Linked DNA regions of Schizosaccharomyces pombe. The gene in region 2 interacts genetically with the main gene of each other region. Each region holds a gene or a part of one and is shown on either strand. Other genes may lie near its edges.

The links. Genes that interact genetically often act in the same process or in processes that back each other up.
Region 1: mutations in gtb1 (region 2) and pkl1 are lethal when combined (synthetic lethality), as found in Schizosaccharomyces pombe (2 studies listed by BioGRID).
Region 3: mutations in gtb1 (region 2) and ccr4 impair growth when combined (synthetic growth defect), as found in Schizosaccharomyces pombe (one study listed by BioGRID).

What each region holds. Positions count from the first base shown.
Region 1 is NC_003424.3:3,437,203-3,442,628, reverse strand, and holds pkl1 (kinesin-14 family minus-end directed microtubule motor Pkl1), read right to left. Parts: upstream 3,740-5,426; 5' UTR 3,697-3,739; coding exon 3,685-3,696; intron 3,647-3,684; exon of another isoform or gene 3,643-3,646; coding exon 3,009-3,642; intron 2,956-3,008; coding exon 1,268-2,955; intron 1,143-1,267; coding exon 978-1,142; 3' UTR 943-977; coding exon of another isoform or gene 834-942; 3' UTR 706-833; coding exon of another isoform or gene 581-705; 3' UTR 512-580; downstream 1-511. Other genes in the region: pfd6 (prefoldin subunit 6), read left to right, coding at 342-381, 432-502, 581-705, 834-942; U5 snRNP-associated protein Aar2, read left to right, coding at 4,568-5,426.
Region 2 is NC_003423.3:2,789,745-2,794,741, reverse strand, and holds gtb1 (gamma-tubulin Gtb1), read right to left. Parts: upstream 3,392-4,997; 5' UTR 3,273-3,391; coding exon 3,224-3,272; exon of another isoform or gene 3,162-3,223; coding exon 3,049-3,161; exon of another isoform or gene 3,000-3,048; coding exon 2,946-2,999; exon of another isoform or gene 2,877-2,945; coding exon 2,400-2,876; exon of another isoform or gene 2,356-2,399; coding exon 1,891-2,355; intron 1,841-1,890; coding exon 1,725-1,840; intron 1,667-1,724; coding exon 1,600-1,666; 3' UTR 1,521-1,599; coding exon of another isoform or gene 1,015-1,520; 3' UTR 924-1,014; coding exon of another isoform or gene 791-923; 3' UTR 730-790; coding exon of another isoform or gene 715-729; 3' UTR 558-714; downstream 1-557. Other genes in the region: protein Cwf12, read left to right, coding at 715-729, 791-923, 1,015-1,520. UniProt on the Schizosaccharomyces pombe protein: Tubulin is the major constituent of microtubules. The gamma chain is found at microtubule organizing centers (MTOC) such as the spindle poles or the centrosome, suggesting that it is involved in the minus-end nucleation of microtubule assembly.
Region 3 is NC_003421.2:636,924-641,577, reverse strand, and holds ccr4 (CCR4-Not complex subunit Ccr4), read left to right. Parts: upstream 1-1,954; 5' UTR 1,955-2,044; coding exon 2,045-4,117; 3' UTR 4,118-4,143; downstream 4,144-4,654. Other genes in the region: taf5 (transcription initiation factor TFIID subunit 5), read left to right, coding at 1-747, 804-972, 1,022-1,286, 1,337-1,433. UniProt on the Schizosaccharomyces pombe protein: Acts as a catalytic component of the CCR4-NOT core complex, which in the nucleus seems to be a general transcription factor, and in the cytoplasm the major mRNA deadenylase involved in mRNA turnover.

The DNA.
Region 1 (5,426 bases), on a different chromosome or scaffold from region 2:
AAAAAAAAGGTTTGCAATTCACTAATTTATATACTGAACCAAGTAGTTTTGTTGTATCAAAACAGTGAGTCTTTACTCAAAATTTCAGCAACACCTTCATTCACTCATTCATAAATCGATTTCCTAGTGTAGCTTACATTTCTCTGTTTAAATTAATTCGGTTTTATTTATTTCTCGTTTTTATCCAATATAGTCATAAAATCAATCATATCACACAATTAAAATATATTTTGTTCATAATATAGAATTTCAACGAACTTCGCTATTTCAGCTGACTTTCAAGGTAAGTAGAATGTCTCTTTACCTACTATCCTTTTACGTCTTTTTACACAGGAATAGAAATGGAGGAATTAGCTAAAAAATATCAGAACCTACAAACAGGTAAATCAAAACCTTCTGCATCGAATTAAATAATTAACGAAATTCCCAAGAACTAAGCACTTATGTCGAAAGTTTAAAAAAGTTGGAAACCCAATTACAAGAAAACACTACTGTCCTCAATGTACGTTAAGGCCACAAAAATTACTATTTTCCCTATTTTCTCCATTTATATTAGAATTGTTTTGTTAATGCGAATTAGGAATTGGAAAAAGTGGCTCCTGACTCAAATATATATAAGCAAATCGGTCCTACCCTTGTAAAGCAAAGTCATGAGGAAGCAAAGACCAACGTTAAAACAAGATTGGATTTCATTAATAAAGAAATGTATGTTTGTTGAAATTTGAAAAAGAAGAATTTCCTTGAGGTTAAAATCGCTCTCTAAAAATGCGAGTTGTACTTCTTCATTTGTATTATCGAATTGCGTATGTCATTTTATTAATTCATAATTATAGTGCACGCCTCGAAAATCAAACAAAAATCTCACAAGAAGAATTCAGCAAAGTTAAAGGTGCCATCATTCAAGCACAAGCAGCAGCTGCTCCACCAAACCCAGCATCTTAAATGCTTTGGTAAACATTTTTTACTCTAAAATAAGCTTAACGTTTATAATGTTTAATAGAACCTACTTTTGTATCATTGACTTTTGTTGCAAATCGCAGACTATTTAATGTATCCATGAATTGCGACTTTAAAGGAGACACATTAACAAACATCAGGGTTTTGGCACCTTTTCCAAGTGAATATTTTAACAAATAAGTTAGCTAATGTCTGGTTAGTACAAAAATGCTTTCAATATAGACTTTACACACTGCTGCAAAGCAAATAAGTAGCCACTTTGACAGTTAAAGAACGTGTTTCGTAAAGAACTTTTCATTCTAATACTCACCTTTGAATTTCGGTATGGTATGTGAGACTTTTCCTTCGTGGTACTATTTGAGGCATTTCCAAGTGCATGGATAACATCGCCAAGACAGCTGAGACTTTTATTAATAGCTTGCGTTTCTCGTAGTCTATCCCCAACTGCCTGACTGTAACTTAACCGCTCAGAACCTGCCAAATCAACTAGATTTAGCGTACCTTTACATATTTGTTTGGTTCTAGAATTTTCACCATCTATATACAGCATGAAAACAGTGTGTGATCTTGAAGACCGTTCATTTGCTTTTGTCGCTGCTATAAATCGATTTTCTCCTGCTCGATTTAGCATCTTGTAAACAGTATCTTCTTCATTAAAATCAATTATTGAAACGTTATCCACTGTTGTTCGTCTTTCCTTTTCATCATGATGAATATCGTGCTTAGGATTTTTCAACATTTCCGCTTTGTTTAATAGATCATAAATCGTTTCATTGTAAATTTCCAAAAACTGACCTCTCAATTTATACACCCACCCTTTCTCCCTCAAGGTTGATAGATAATTAAATATATGCTTAATTGACATCGCTATCATACCGTCTTGTGACGACATTGTGTACGTCTTACCCGATCCTGTTTGTCCATATGCAAATATACTAACATTATAACCATCAATAGCGCTTTGAATTAACTGTGATATTTCCTCAAAAACGGACGAGTTATCGCTTTCAGGAGCAAAGACTCGATCAAAGGAAAATTCATAATTACGATCATAAGTATGCCCGAGTGATGATTCAACATTAGGCCCTTTAAGAATAAGTTTTTGTGGCTCTAGTGCGTCTTTATCTGGAAATTGTAAAACATCAGCAATGCAATATTCGGATTCTTCACTTGGGAGTAGTGGTCTAACCCTACAAAAAACTCGAATATTTCCCTTTAGTTCTTGAATGTCGTTATGCAGCTTTCGTCTGATTATTTCTTCTGCTAACAGTTTATTATACATATCTTCATTTCTCCGTTCCAGCTGTTGGATTCGAGCTTGTAGTTCCAATGCGTTCTGGCCATTATTTCTTTCTTTATCTTGAATACTTGCAACATATTTAGAAAGTTCTTCAAGTTTTTCAGATGTAGAGTGGTGTTTATGCTCTTCCTTTAACAGTTTATTTCGAAGCATGTCAATTTCAGCTAACTTGTCTTCTAATTCTATACGCAGAGAGGAGATTTTTTCTTCATATTCTTTTTCCGAGTATGATTTTTCCGATTCATATTCTTTTACTGCCATTTCCAACTCAGATATTCTCCTTTTAAGCTTTTTAACCGTTAAATCATTCTCATATTCAATGTGGGATATTCGATCATTTTCTTCTTGTTGTTTCATTTCTAATAAGTCCAGAATTTTTTCTTTAAAACGCAAAATTTTCTCAGTACAAGAACCTTGTATCAGCACTAGAGCTCTCCGAAGTGATTCACAAATATTGGCATATTCATGTTTATATGACTTTACTTCGTTCTCAACAAAATCCCCAAAGGATTTTCGTTCACCATTTAGATTACAAACTAGAGAATGTGTTTTCTTTTCATGATAAAGTGCAAGTTCTTTGTGTTCTCGACGTAGCTTTTGGTAGCTTGCATTCGCAGCTTCTAACCTTTCCTTGGCTTCCTTCAACTGGATATTCGATATCGATAATTCAGAGGAAAGATTTTCTTTTGTTTCTAAAACTTTAAAATAGTTAGTAATCAAATAAAGTCAGCATAAAGACATGTATTCTTACTATCTTGCTTGGCCTTTTCTGCTGCCTCTCTGTATGATTGAAGTTGTAACGAATATTCATGATCCTTTTCAGCGTAAACCTGTTCTTGTACCTGAAGATGTGATCTAAGGTTCAAGTATGCAGACTCAATATCATCGGTTTCGTCTTTCGATAATAAACGATGTTCGCCATTAGATAGCATATGCAACCTTTCTAACTGTATAATATTTTTTGGTTTGCTTTTTAAATCTTTTATTCTCTTTAATGTATTAGAAGAAGCCATAGCTTGATCACTCTCGTAGGCTAACGTTGATTCGCATATTGTTTTATGAGATTCAATGAGATCTTTTAATTGAGGCAGCCAACTCTCTTTAAATTTGGAAACAGATTCTTCGTAATTAGATTCATGAGTAGAAGCAATTGGCGCTGTGACTACAGCGGCCTTGTCTCGATTGCTGTCCCTCTTCTTGCCATTAATGTCGCTTTGTAAAACGTGATTTTTTGATACGAAATTTTCGTATTTCAAATCATGTACTGCATCCTCTTGATTTGTTTTAATAATTTTTTTTGGTCGATATATTAAGTCCTCAGAATCTGTGTTTAAAGCATCTTCCTGTCGTTTATACCCTGTGTTTATGGAAATGTCCTTTGTATTCTTTCGCATTAATAAGATAAGTTACTCAGAAGTACCTCTTACCTCAATTACCATCTATAAGTTAAAAAGAGCGTTTTATAGAGTAATTCTTCCCAATACTATAAACACGAATTTATCAGCTCGACAAAACAGATTTTGATTAGCAGATGCTTTAAGAAACGTAAAACTATTTTACGTGGGTTAAATATGAGTGTTAAATTGTTAAGCAAATTCCAATGCTACGCATCATTATATGTCTCAAGCCTCTCGTGTATATCCATCTATGTTATTAATCAATGGTGTATAGAATACAATTGATTCCATTAACAAATAGTACTTAAGTAATATTATTTATATTATGTAATTCCACATTCCCTGATTGATTTTTGGAATATCTCAAACAAATTCAGTGTATCCTTACGTGTCTTTAAGTGAATTACAAAGTCCGCGGAAATGTGTAACACTACCTAAAATTTCGGTGAGCTTATATTACGATTTGCCATGTAGCGGTAGGTTGTACGTTTAACTAACAATTGTTACTTTTATTACTTTAAAGAAGTCTAATAGTGTCCAGTCAGCGATCTAGCTAACGACTAAACTAAAGGAGCGAGGTTCAGTTGTAGCTTTATTTAAAATGTCTCGATTAATTTATATCAATTGGAATATATTTAGATAGATGGAATTTTATCCGTAACTATGAATAAATAGATCTTAACTACTATTCTAGCAGGCGATATTTAGTGATACGAAACGATGTATATTATAGCGTAGTGTAGAATTGCTGACACCCAAAAACCTTTAATGTATTATGGTGTTTTTTATAATATCCATCGCTATAACTCTTAAATCAGTAGCCTGAAACTTAGCTTTGACCAATGTCTACGATCTTAAATTCAACTTAATAGACAAAATAAATGAAGATATGGAATAATTTGTTTTGTATATAATGAGTATAGAGTTTGTCGGATGGTTAAATACATATTACGTTGGCATTGATCAGAGTTCATATGAAGCTAGTAAGCTTCCAGGTATTCGAAATGTAAAAGGTGGAATTCATCTTTTCACTTGGTCTCCAACATACCCTGCTGGATTAATTTCTGGAGTTTTTGCTATGGTCCATGAAGATATGAAATATAGTATCGACTTTGATTCGAAATCTGAAACAGCTTCTTTGCAGAAGCTTGATGTATTATATGACGAAAACTTTTATCCCTTTGAATCAACAAAGGATTGGGACTTGTTGACGAAGTTCATTACAGTTCAAGATCTTCAAAGAATTTTTGCTACTGAAGGTGAATTTTTCTACTTAGACACTTCAACGTATGTCAACGCTGATCTTGTGTCACAAGATCCGGAATTCTCAAAACCCTCTCGAGACGATAAACTATTAAATTTCGCTGAATTCAATTTACGACGAAGCTGGTCGCCGTCTGCCACTGGACCTGAACGGTCTAAGCAAGCAATTGATAAATCGTTTTTGTTTCAAAGACTCGTCCAAAGCGTGTGGAATGACAATCCCATCTCTGCATTAGCGGAATTATCAATTTCCTTTCTGAGCTACTCTATTCTCTCCCACTATGGTGCTTTGGAGCATTGGAAGAATATGTTGAGTTTGCTATTGCAGTCTTATGAATTGGCGGAAACTGAACCAGAGTTTTACGCTTCCTTTTTGGAGCTTTTCAAACTTCAGCTTAGCTCACTAAGTGAATCCGACTTAGAAACGTCTGCCATTTTTGAGAAAGGCGTTTTACTATCTTGCCTTGATAGTCTAAGTGAAAGGAAAGTGGATGGTAGCTTTGGTTCTC
Region 2 (4,997 bases):
TAGAATAATTCGTAAGTCAGTTTTAACGATTTTGACGGTCTCAACGATTGTTTAATTTTAAGTCTTTGTAAGATATTCAAAAAATCAACTGTATACTTATAAATCGTTCTGCTAATCTCTTATAAACAACTCTTTTTTAGGTTAAAGCCGATACCAAAGAGATGAAATGAACTTTTCCAAATGATTGATGTTACCTACTTCATCAACAATTGCCTAATTCTTGACAGTATATTGAATACGATGGATTAAAAGTGGTAATCATTTTGAAAGGGACCATTTATGCAATAATATCATCCTTTAATTGTAGTGAACATAAAATACTTAGTTACTATTTAGACTAGTACTTTTTTTAGAAGAGGACTTCGTTATCCATGAATTAAGAAGCTTGTTGCGCTTCAATAAGCTTATTCACTTTGGCTGTTCTTTTCCGTTTTATAAAGTGTTTCTTACACGAAATAACTACTTGTATGCATTCAATTTCTTGCTTATAAGTTTTTTGCTTGTCTTCACAATCGGTGGAACTTGAGCAAATTTTCAAGTACTTAAATAAGAATTGGCTGTTGAAGGTCAATTAATTAAGTGTTGGGTTTGCCTTGATTTCGATAAATACCATAAAACTTGTCTATATTATTTATTTTCTGTGTCAAATTTTAATGAGCCTTTCCTTCTCTATTTTTTTAATTACCAAGTCTATCATTTTCATTTAATTTTACAATGTCATCAGCGAAAGTAAGGTTCATACGAATATGCATGAGAACCTAAGCGTCAGTCACTAACCCCTTTGTTATAGTATGTAGTGGGCAGCAAACCAACGGAAAAGAGACCCAAGGATATAAAAAGCATTAAGTCTGTGCCGATATGTGAAAAACATAGGGCTAGTGTAGTAAAAGATATCTCTCGCAAGATCTCTCGAATTCAAAGTGGTACGTCCTAGATTGTTTTATTAGCAAATTTAATTAACTTGCTAAACTTGATTCCGCTTTTATCATTTCTGTGTATTCTAACCATGAATAGCAACGTTGCCTGAATATCAAATTCGAGATTTGAACGATGCAATTAATCGATTGATGCGTGAAAAACACGAATGGGAGGTACAAATTCGTGATCTGGGTGGGATTAATTATCTGTATAATAAAGCAAAGCTATTTGAGGATGAAGGAGAACAAATCAGTGATATAGACGATTATCGTTATTACGGAAGAGCTCGAGAGTTACCTGGCGTTAAGGAACTTTTTGAAGCTGATATGAGTTTTATACCGGAAAGACAGCGCAAACAGGAGATGCAGAAAAGAAGGTTAGACGCCTGGTACTTTGGTTACATACCGCCAGCACAAGAGAGTCTATTAGAAGATTTTGAGGCAAAGATTGAAGAACAACAACATAAACATCTTGAGAACCTTGGTGATGAAGTTGAACAAGATTGGAAACCTCTTGTCATTGAGCAAATACCAACTAGAGACGATGTTGAAGCCATTCTTTTAGAAAGGCGTAAAAATGCTTTGCTGAGCAGAATTTCATAGATTATGAAGTAGGACTAGGATAGGAGAATTAATTTTATATTTTAAGTCTGCTTTGACATCGTAAACTATGAAGGATTTTTTAAAGAGATAAATAATTGGGATCTTCACAAGCTTCGTATTCATTGATCAAGTCGGCAACGACGTCGCTGTCAAATACATTAGTAAATTAACTCAAAATATGAAATTATAAGACAAGATACTTACCGAGAAGAATCGAATTCGTTAAGATCATCTTCGAAAATAGCCTCCTTTTTATATTGCTCTAAAAAGGCATTTCGTTTCCGCAAACGATCATATTGATCTAGTGTTCTCTTGAATAACTACAAAGATTAGTATTAAATGTCTCAAAAAAAAATTTGCAGAAACATACAGAGGCAATACTAGTGTGATTTGCAAGCATAAGTCCACTAACACGGTGGTTCGTTTTTATATAGGGCGACTTTTTAGAAAGTGCAACTTGTATACTTGCTGGTCCCCAAGGAATGAATGAAGCGTATCGTCGTTCTCTTATGCGAAGCAAGGATTTGTGAACGTCCGCCGGATCTGCTTCTCCTTGAATGATATCCAAAATACTAATAAAGCAACTCTTTTTGCTAGGATTGACGGAAACCATCTGGTTTTTAGGCAACAACAACCTTCTCATCACATCAAGCACGGTAGTTTTCCGAATGGCCTTTGCTTCTTCCACTTGCTGATTGGTAAAAGGAGTGTATGAGGTTAGTAAAAAGTGACAGCGAGGACTTGGAATTAATGAAGCTATTATACTGACAAGATCGTTGTTCATGTAGCCAGGATATCTTAAAGTTGTTGTACTGGCAGACATAACAGTTGAAACCTAGAATAGTTAGTTGATGAAAAGACCTAATATAAATCAATTACCAATTGGTTTTGTTGATGAAACGTAGGGTTCTGAGTATGTAACCGATCAGCAGCAATATGAGCAAGTGCTGCATTGTCCAACACAACAACAGAATCAGCATTCAATGTCAGTCGCTTCAATGCAAGAAGACTGTTGTAAGGCTGAACCACAACATCTGATACGGATTGACTATTAGGGAATACTGAATAAGTTTGGATAATCTTCTTGGGATAACGATCGTTTAATCTCTCAAGCAAGAAAGAGCCCAGCCCAGAACCCGTTCCACCAGCGATAGAATGTAAAAGCGAGAAACCCTCTAGAGAATCACTTCCATCAGCTTCACGATCTATCATGTCCATTATATCTTCAAAAATCCTCTCAGCATGCGAATAACCATTAGCCCAATTATTGCCAGCACCTCCTCCATTTTTGGTAATAAGTATATTTTCGGGATTATAAAGGCTGCCGTAGGTGTCGCTTAGAATATTGTTGACCACCTAAGGTAAAGAGGACATTAGTCACTTGAATATTTCAGCAAATACTAATAAAAGGATGCGATAACATACTCTTGGTTCCAGATCAATCAAAATGGCTCTAGGAATGTATCTAGTATCATCAGACTAAAATGAGTTAACATGTTGAAACTTTAAAGTGTATCAATAAACCAACCTGGTAGAAAAAAACGTCTTTTCGATCAACACCCTCAGTTGCGAAACTTTCTAGCGTGCCATCAGGCCCAATGCCATGTTCCAAACACAACTGTTGCCAGAATTGTGAACCAACTAGACAAGTTTGTGAGTAATTAGAATTTCGATTTGATTAATAGTAGTATAGGTGAACATACTTTGATTACCACATTGACCAGCTTGTAACGTAATGATTTCTCTGCCCATGATTAAACAATGAAGGAGCAAACAATCTTTGATGTTTGCTTCTTACTTAAAAGTACAACCGCGAAAGATTTTTTGCTGAAATAGGTGGTTTTCAAAAGAAGGGTATCTTGAGGTATTTCGCTGTGCTTGGGTGAACTGTAGGTCGATAAGAGAAGGTTGGTAGTAAGAAAAGCAAACATTTTCCAGGTCAACTAGACTAGATTATTATAAATAATTACATATTTCTTGACTATAAATTTATCAACCTTGGAGCTGATTCGAGCATTGCTGCAAAATTCAATTAGGAATGACAATTTTTCTAACAGGAAATTAGAAAGCCAAAGTAAGTGAATTTAGAATGTGTCATAAAATTTAGTATTGATTACTATCGTATCTAAATATTTCTAAATCATTTAGTACATTATTTCGTAAAAAATATATGCAACTTTGAATGTAAATATTAAAATTGAAAGTAACACAATAGACACAATTTATGAGTGTTCGAATAAAAAAATAATAGTGATATAAAATTAGACAATTCATGTGGATACTCAAACACTGAAACAAATGATTTTCCAAAAACTAAAAGTATTTTTGAAGACAATTTTATCTTAATTAATACAGATTGTAGAAAATGAAAAATTAACAAATAATTATTTGGCAAAGGTCTAAATATTTTACAAATTAATAAATAAATAAATTAATTGAAAGTAAAAAAAAAAATTGAACATAAATTTTTACTGAAATTATAATTAAGCTCAATAAGGTAATACCACACAACAACAGTTTGATTTTAATATTTATTTAGCAGGTGTAACATTTTTTTTTATTAACAACAAAGTTGCGAGCTTGTAAAATTGGGTTTTAACTTAAACCAAGATTTATTAAAAAAAGAATGTAAAGAACGACGACATATTTACAATGTTTGGAATTTAAAACTTAATAATAGAAACCGAATATCAACATTTTCTATTTCAAAAAAATACTGAGCATTTCTTAATAGTTATGCATATATATATACCTTTTAGCAAATGATTCCAACTAGCTCTTGTAGCTCAGTGGTAGAGCGCTTGCCTAGTAAGCAAGAGGCCCAGTGTTCAAGTCACTGCTGGAGCATAATTTTGATCCTTTTTGCTTTTTGCCCTTCAAAGGGCAAAAAACAATACTTTTAAGATAATACATAAATAATCTATCACTGATACCTTTTTCTACATCCTACTAATTTATTTGTAGATTAAAGTAAAAAAGTAGTTATACGGTTCCTTGTTTTTGTCAAATAATTTGCCTGTGTCCTATATCTTGTTGCAGTGCATATTCTTTTGGATGGAAGAAATCCCACTCTTAAAGTTAGAAAAAGGTTTCGCTTCACTTTCAACTTTAAGATAAACAACATCGGCCATTGGCAATCTCGTCTACTATTATTTTAAACAAAAGGTAGCAAACCATTACTAGGTGTTGTAACTAACGCAAACTACTTAATCGTTTGCTGCTACAATCGCCCCATACAATGTTTAGATACCTATACTGTTTAAGTATGAGTCTCAGCCATTCTATGCATAACCTTTACAAATACGAAATTTGAAATATTTTTACTAAATAGCAGCAAAAATTTCTGTCATTTTGGTGGTATGTTGACAAAAGACAATGGCAGTATACTGCGACATATCCTTTTTTTAACTTTAAAAGCAGCAAACAAAGGAAAAAGAATGTGAGACTGATTAAATAAATAAGATTTCTTTTGATAAA
Region 3 (4,654 bases), on a different chromosome or scaffold from region 2:
CTTCAACCTGTAAAGCTGCAACAAATGCCAATGGACAAAGAAATGGAAAAAATTGTAGAGATGGACTTAGAAGAAGAGGATATGATGCACCAAAACGATCCAAATAACCAATCTCCAAAACTATTAAAAGAATTTAGAAAGCTGCATGAACCTAATGCTGAAGATGCTCCGTCTAGAGATTATATCCCTCTTCCTCCTCATAAAGGTGTTGATATTCTTTCAGAAGTTGAGGCTGTGAAAGATTGGAGTAAAAGATTACATCTTGGACCTAGAGCCTCCCTTCCTAGTGTTTGTATGTACACATTCCATCACACCAATAACAACATGAACTGTGCTGAATTTTCTCCTGACTCCACAATGATCGCCTGTGGTTTTCAAGAAAGTTATATACGGCTATGGTCAATAAAGGCTGACAAAAAATCATTACCTAAGTCAACTTCTGTAGAGGATTCAGATGGCTCAGTACGTTTACTGAGTCATTCTGGTCCTGTTTACGGCACCACATTTTCTCCCGATAATAAATATTTACTATCTTGTTCCGAAGATGCTAGCGCCCGGCTGTGGTCTGTTGACACAAAAACTGCTTTGGTAGCTTACAAGGGACATACTGGCCCGGTTTGGGATGTTGCCTTTGGTCCGTTTGGTCATTACTTCGCTACTGCTTCTCATGACCAGACTGCACAACTTTGGAGCTGTGATCATATATACCCACTTAGAGTTTTTGCTGGGCATTTAAGTGATGTAGACGTATGATTATTATCTTTTTTAAGAAATGTGTTTCCTTATGACTGACTTGTATTTAGTGCGTTACCTTTCATCCAAACTCCGCTTATGTGCTAACTGGATCAAGCGATAAAACATGCAGGCTTTGGGATGTACATAGAGGACATTCTGTTCGTGTTTTTAATGGACATACCCAACCGGTAACTGCTGTTGCGATTGCCCCAGATGGTCATACTATGGCAAGTGCTGGTATGTTATACATTTGTTATTACTAATGATTTTACTAATTTGATTAAAGACAGTGAAGGTCTAATTCACCTTTGGGACATAGGAACAGGAAGGCGTATAAAGACAATGCGAGGTCACAGAGGCAACATATACTCTTTGTCATTTTCTCGCGAATCCACGGTCCTCGTTAGCGGAGGGTCAGATTGTACTGTGAGAGCTTGGGACGTTTTCAAAACTAATTACAACAATCCTGTTTCTTCTTCTCTAACGGGAAGTGTTGTTACACCTTTCTCTGCTAAAACATCCACATTTAATGAAGTCAATTGGTCTACAAGGTATGAGAAAATGTAATGGAATCGATATATTTACTAACCTTCTCAAACAGTCCGGATCAAATGGTAGCTCTTTATACGAAGCAAACCCCTATATTTAATGTCTCCTTTACGCGTCGTAACCTTTGCTTAGCAATAAGCGTTAGTTAGATAAATAAACCTTTTTTGATCTTCAATATGTTTCTTCCCGTCCATACTTTAAGAAATTTGGCATTATATAAAAAAAGATTATAAAAAATTTAATTTAAATATTAAACATTATCTTACTTTACGATAATGAGTCAACAACTAACTGCCTTTTAACAACTTTGAGACATCCATGTATCGGAATCGAAATTAGGCTGAATAATTCATATTTGATGTTCCGGAAAAGCTTTTAATATTATAAACTTCATAAAGGACTTCTGATGATACATTATATATTAAATTTTTCAGTAGCTCCAATATTTACATAGACCATAACAGCGCTAAACATAAGCTAAAATAATTTCATGTTTGGACCCTAAATTATATTATTTAGAAAAAAAATTAATAATATGAATTAATTGAAAGCATTCATATGCAATTATATACCTAAAAAACGATTAACAGGACACTGAGTTTTCGTCTCAAATCTTGGTGGTGAGCTTTCGTATCCCACCTATAAGCTATCACGGGGTTCGACTCTTGCCGTTCACCAACAACCTCACTTTTATTGTATATATAGTGAATGTTGTAAATTAGAATTCATCTCGACTTTGATATTTTGCGAGATACCGTCTATGTTTAATCCTAGGTATACGCAAGGTACAATTTATCCAGGAGCGCACCCGGGGCTGTTGACGCCAGACCATCAACATGCAGCAATATTATCTGTACAGAATTCGCCAGCTTTAGAAAATAGTAATATTTCTGAACATTGGAAACAGCAAATTGCACTTGCAACTCAGTCCAGGTCCTTCAGTTCACCACACCAACGAGCTCATAATGCTGCGGCTTTAGCACGAAGTGGAGGACCTGGGTTTTCGATGAATTACAATGCTCGGACTGGAGCTTTTACCGGAGGCCCTAATGCTGCTGGCTTATCCTCGTTAGGGGGAAAGTACAATACTAGCTCCACTACTACAACATTGACGACCTCAACAACATTAAACACTTCCAGTGGTACTACCTTAAACAGTACGTCAAAAACAACCACTTCTTCTGTTGCGGTTGATGACCAAAAGTCGAAATCTGACTCTAAGAAAGAGAGACGGGATTGGACTTGTTTGGACCTTGGTGGTATTGGTTTGAGAAATGTGAGCACTGATTTATTTAAATTCTCTTTTTTGACTGAATTATACATAAACCATAATAATCTTACCCGATTACCACCTGAAATTGGCAAACTGAAGAATTTGGTTATTTTGGATGCCTCTGGAAACAGCATTAAAACTATTCCACCAGAGCTTGGTTTACTTACTGAGCTTAGAGAAGTCCTATTGTTTGATAATATGATTAGTGTAATACCTGCCGAACTCGGTACCCTTTTCCAATTGAAAATTCTTGGTATTGAAGGTAATCCTCTTCAAGACGTTTACAAGAATCAAATCATGGAAAGTGGTACTGCAGGTTTAATTGCTGCTTTGCGCGATGGTTGCCCTGTTGGCCCTCCTCCTCCTGAGCGTGGATGGGAAAAACTTGTTTCCGATGATGATGATGATGTTAATGACAATGTTTCAACCTCTGTTAGAGATTTAACGGCTGCTGATTCTAACAAGCCCTCTACAACATCTAAGAATCTCAAGTTTACTATTATGAGTTATAATGTGCTTTGTGAACGTTATGCTACATCCACATTGTATGGCTATACTCCTTCATGGGCACTCTCTTGGTCGTATCGCAAAGATTTAATCATGCAAGAATTAGGTGGTTATAATGCTGATATCATTTGTTTGCAAGAAGTTGATGTTGAGAACTATGATACTTTTTTTGCTCCACAAATGAGTTTGAAAGGTTATAAAGGTGTCCACTTCCCGAAAAGTCGCGTACGAACTATGAATGAGGTTGAACGTCGCATCGTCGATGGTTGTGCTACATTTTTCAAAACATCTAAATATGTCATGCACGAAAAGATGGTGATAGAATATAATCAAGCACCATCTCTTCGTAGGCAAGACATTAAACTAACGTCTAACATGTACAACCGTGTTATGACTAAAGATAACATTAGTGTGATTACTCTTCTTGAGAATAAGGAAAATGGATCGCGATTGATCGTTGCAAATTGTCATATTCATTGGGATCCTCAGTTTAGGGATGTCAAGGTTATACAAGTTGCAATGCTCATGGATGAGATTGCACAGGTTGCAACAAAATTCCGTAATATGCCTTCCAAGATTCCTTCTGACCAGTTAAAGGATGAAAGACCTACCTATCCCGAGTATTTAAAGATCCCCATCTTAATTTGTGGAGATTTTAATTCCGTCCAAGGCAGTGGTGTTTATGACTTTTTATCATCTGGTAGCATTAGCCAAAATCATGAAGATTTTATGAATAATGATTACGGAGAATACACTGTTAATGGACGTTCTCATGCATTTAATTTGAAATCTGCATATGGTGAATCTGAAGCTCTCTCCTTCACTAACTATACACCTGGCTTTAAGGGTGCCATTGATCACATTTGGTACACCGGCAATAGCTTGGAGGTAACCGGTTTGTTGAAAGGAGTGGATAAAGATTATCTTTCCGGCGTTGTTGGTTTCCCTAACGCACACTTCCCTAGTGATCATATTTGCTTGCTGGCCGAGTTTAAAGTGAAACAGGAGAAGACACCCTTACCTTCATCAAAGTTTAACAATGATAAAAAATGATTGTTAGTTTTTGTCGTGTTTGTAGATTTTAGAGTGATACTTAGTAGCAAGTAGATGGATTTGATGTATGATTCTGCATTTCGCAAGTACCAGGTATTTGGTTAAGTTTACATAGATATCAAAGCAGTGTAATTTTCCTTGTCGTAATAATTTGAATAGATAAATTGTAAATCATTGAGGTTTCGTTTTTGTTTACGTAGTTATTCGTTTTACTTTTATTGGAAATTAGCATTAACAAGGGGTGAACCGCCACACATCGTACTGATGGTTTGCATTAAAACGTTGATTTTTTTATTTTCATAATAAAAATGAGCTTCGCCATTTCATCAACATTCAACCATCTCTAAAAATCGATTGTGTTGAAGATATCCTTATTTTGCTCAACATAACTTCACAAAAAATTCATAAAATATTTATCTATTTTAAAAAACCAACAAATTACAACGAGCGTAATACTAGAGAAATATAACATCAGTAAACGAAATAATATTGATAAGCAAGACTATGCTATCCTAGACTCAAGCCAAAAGTGCTGAA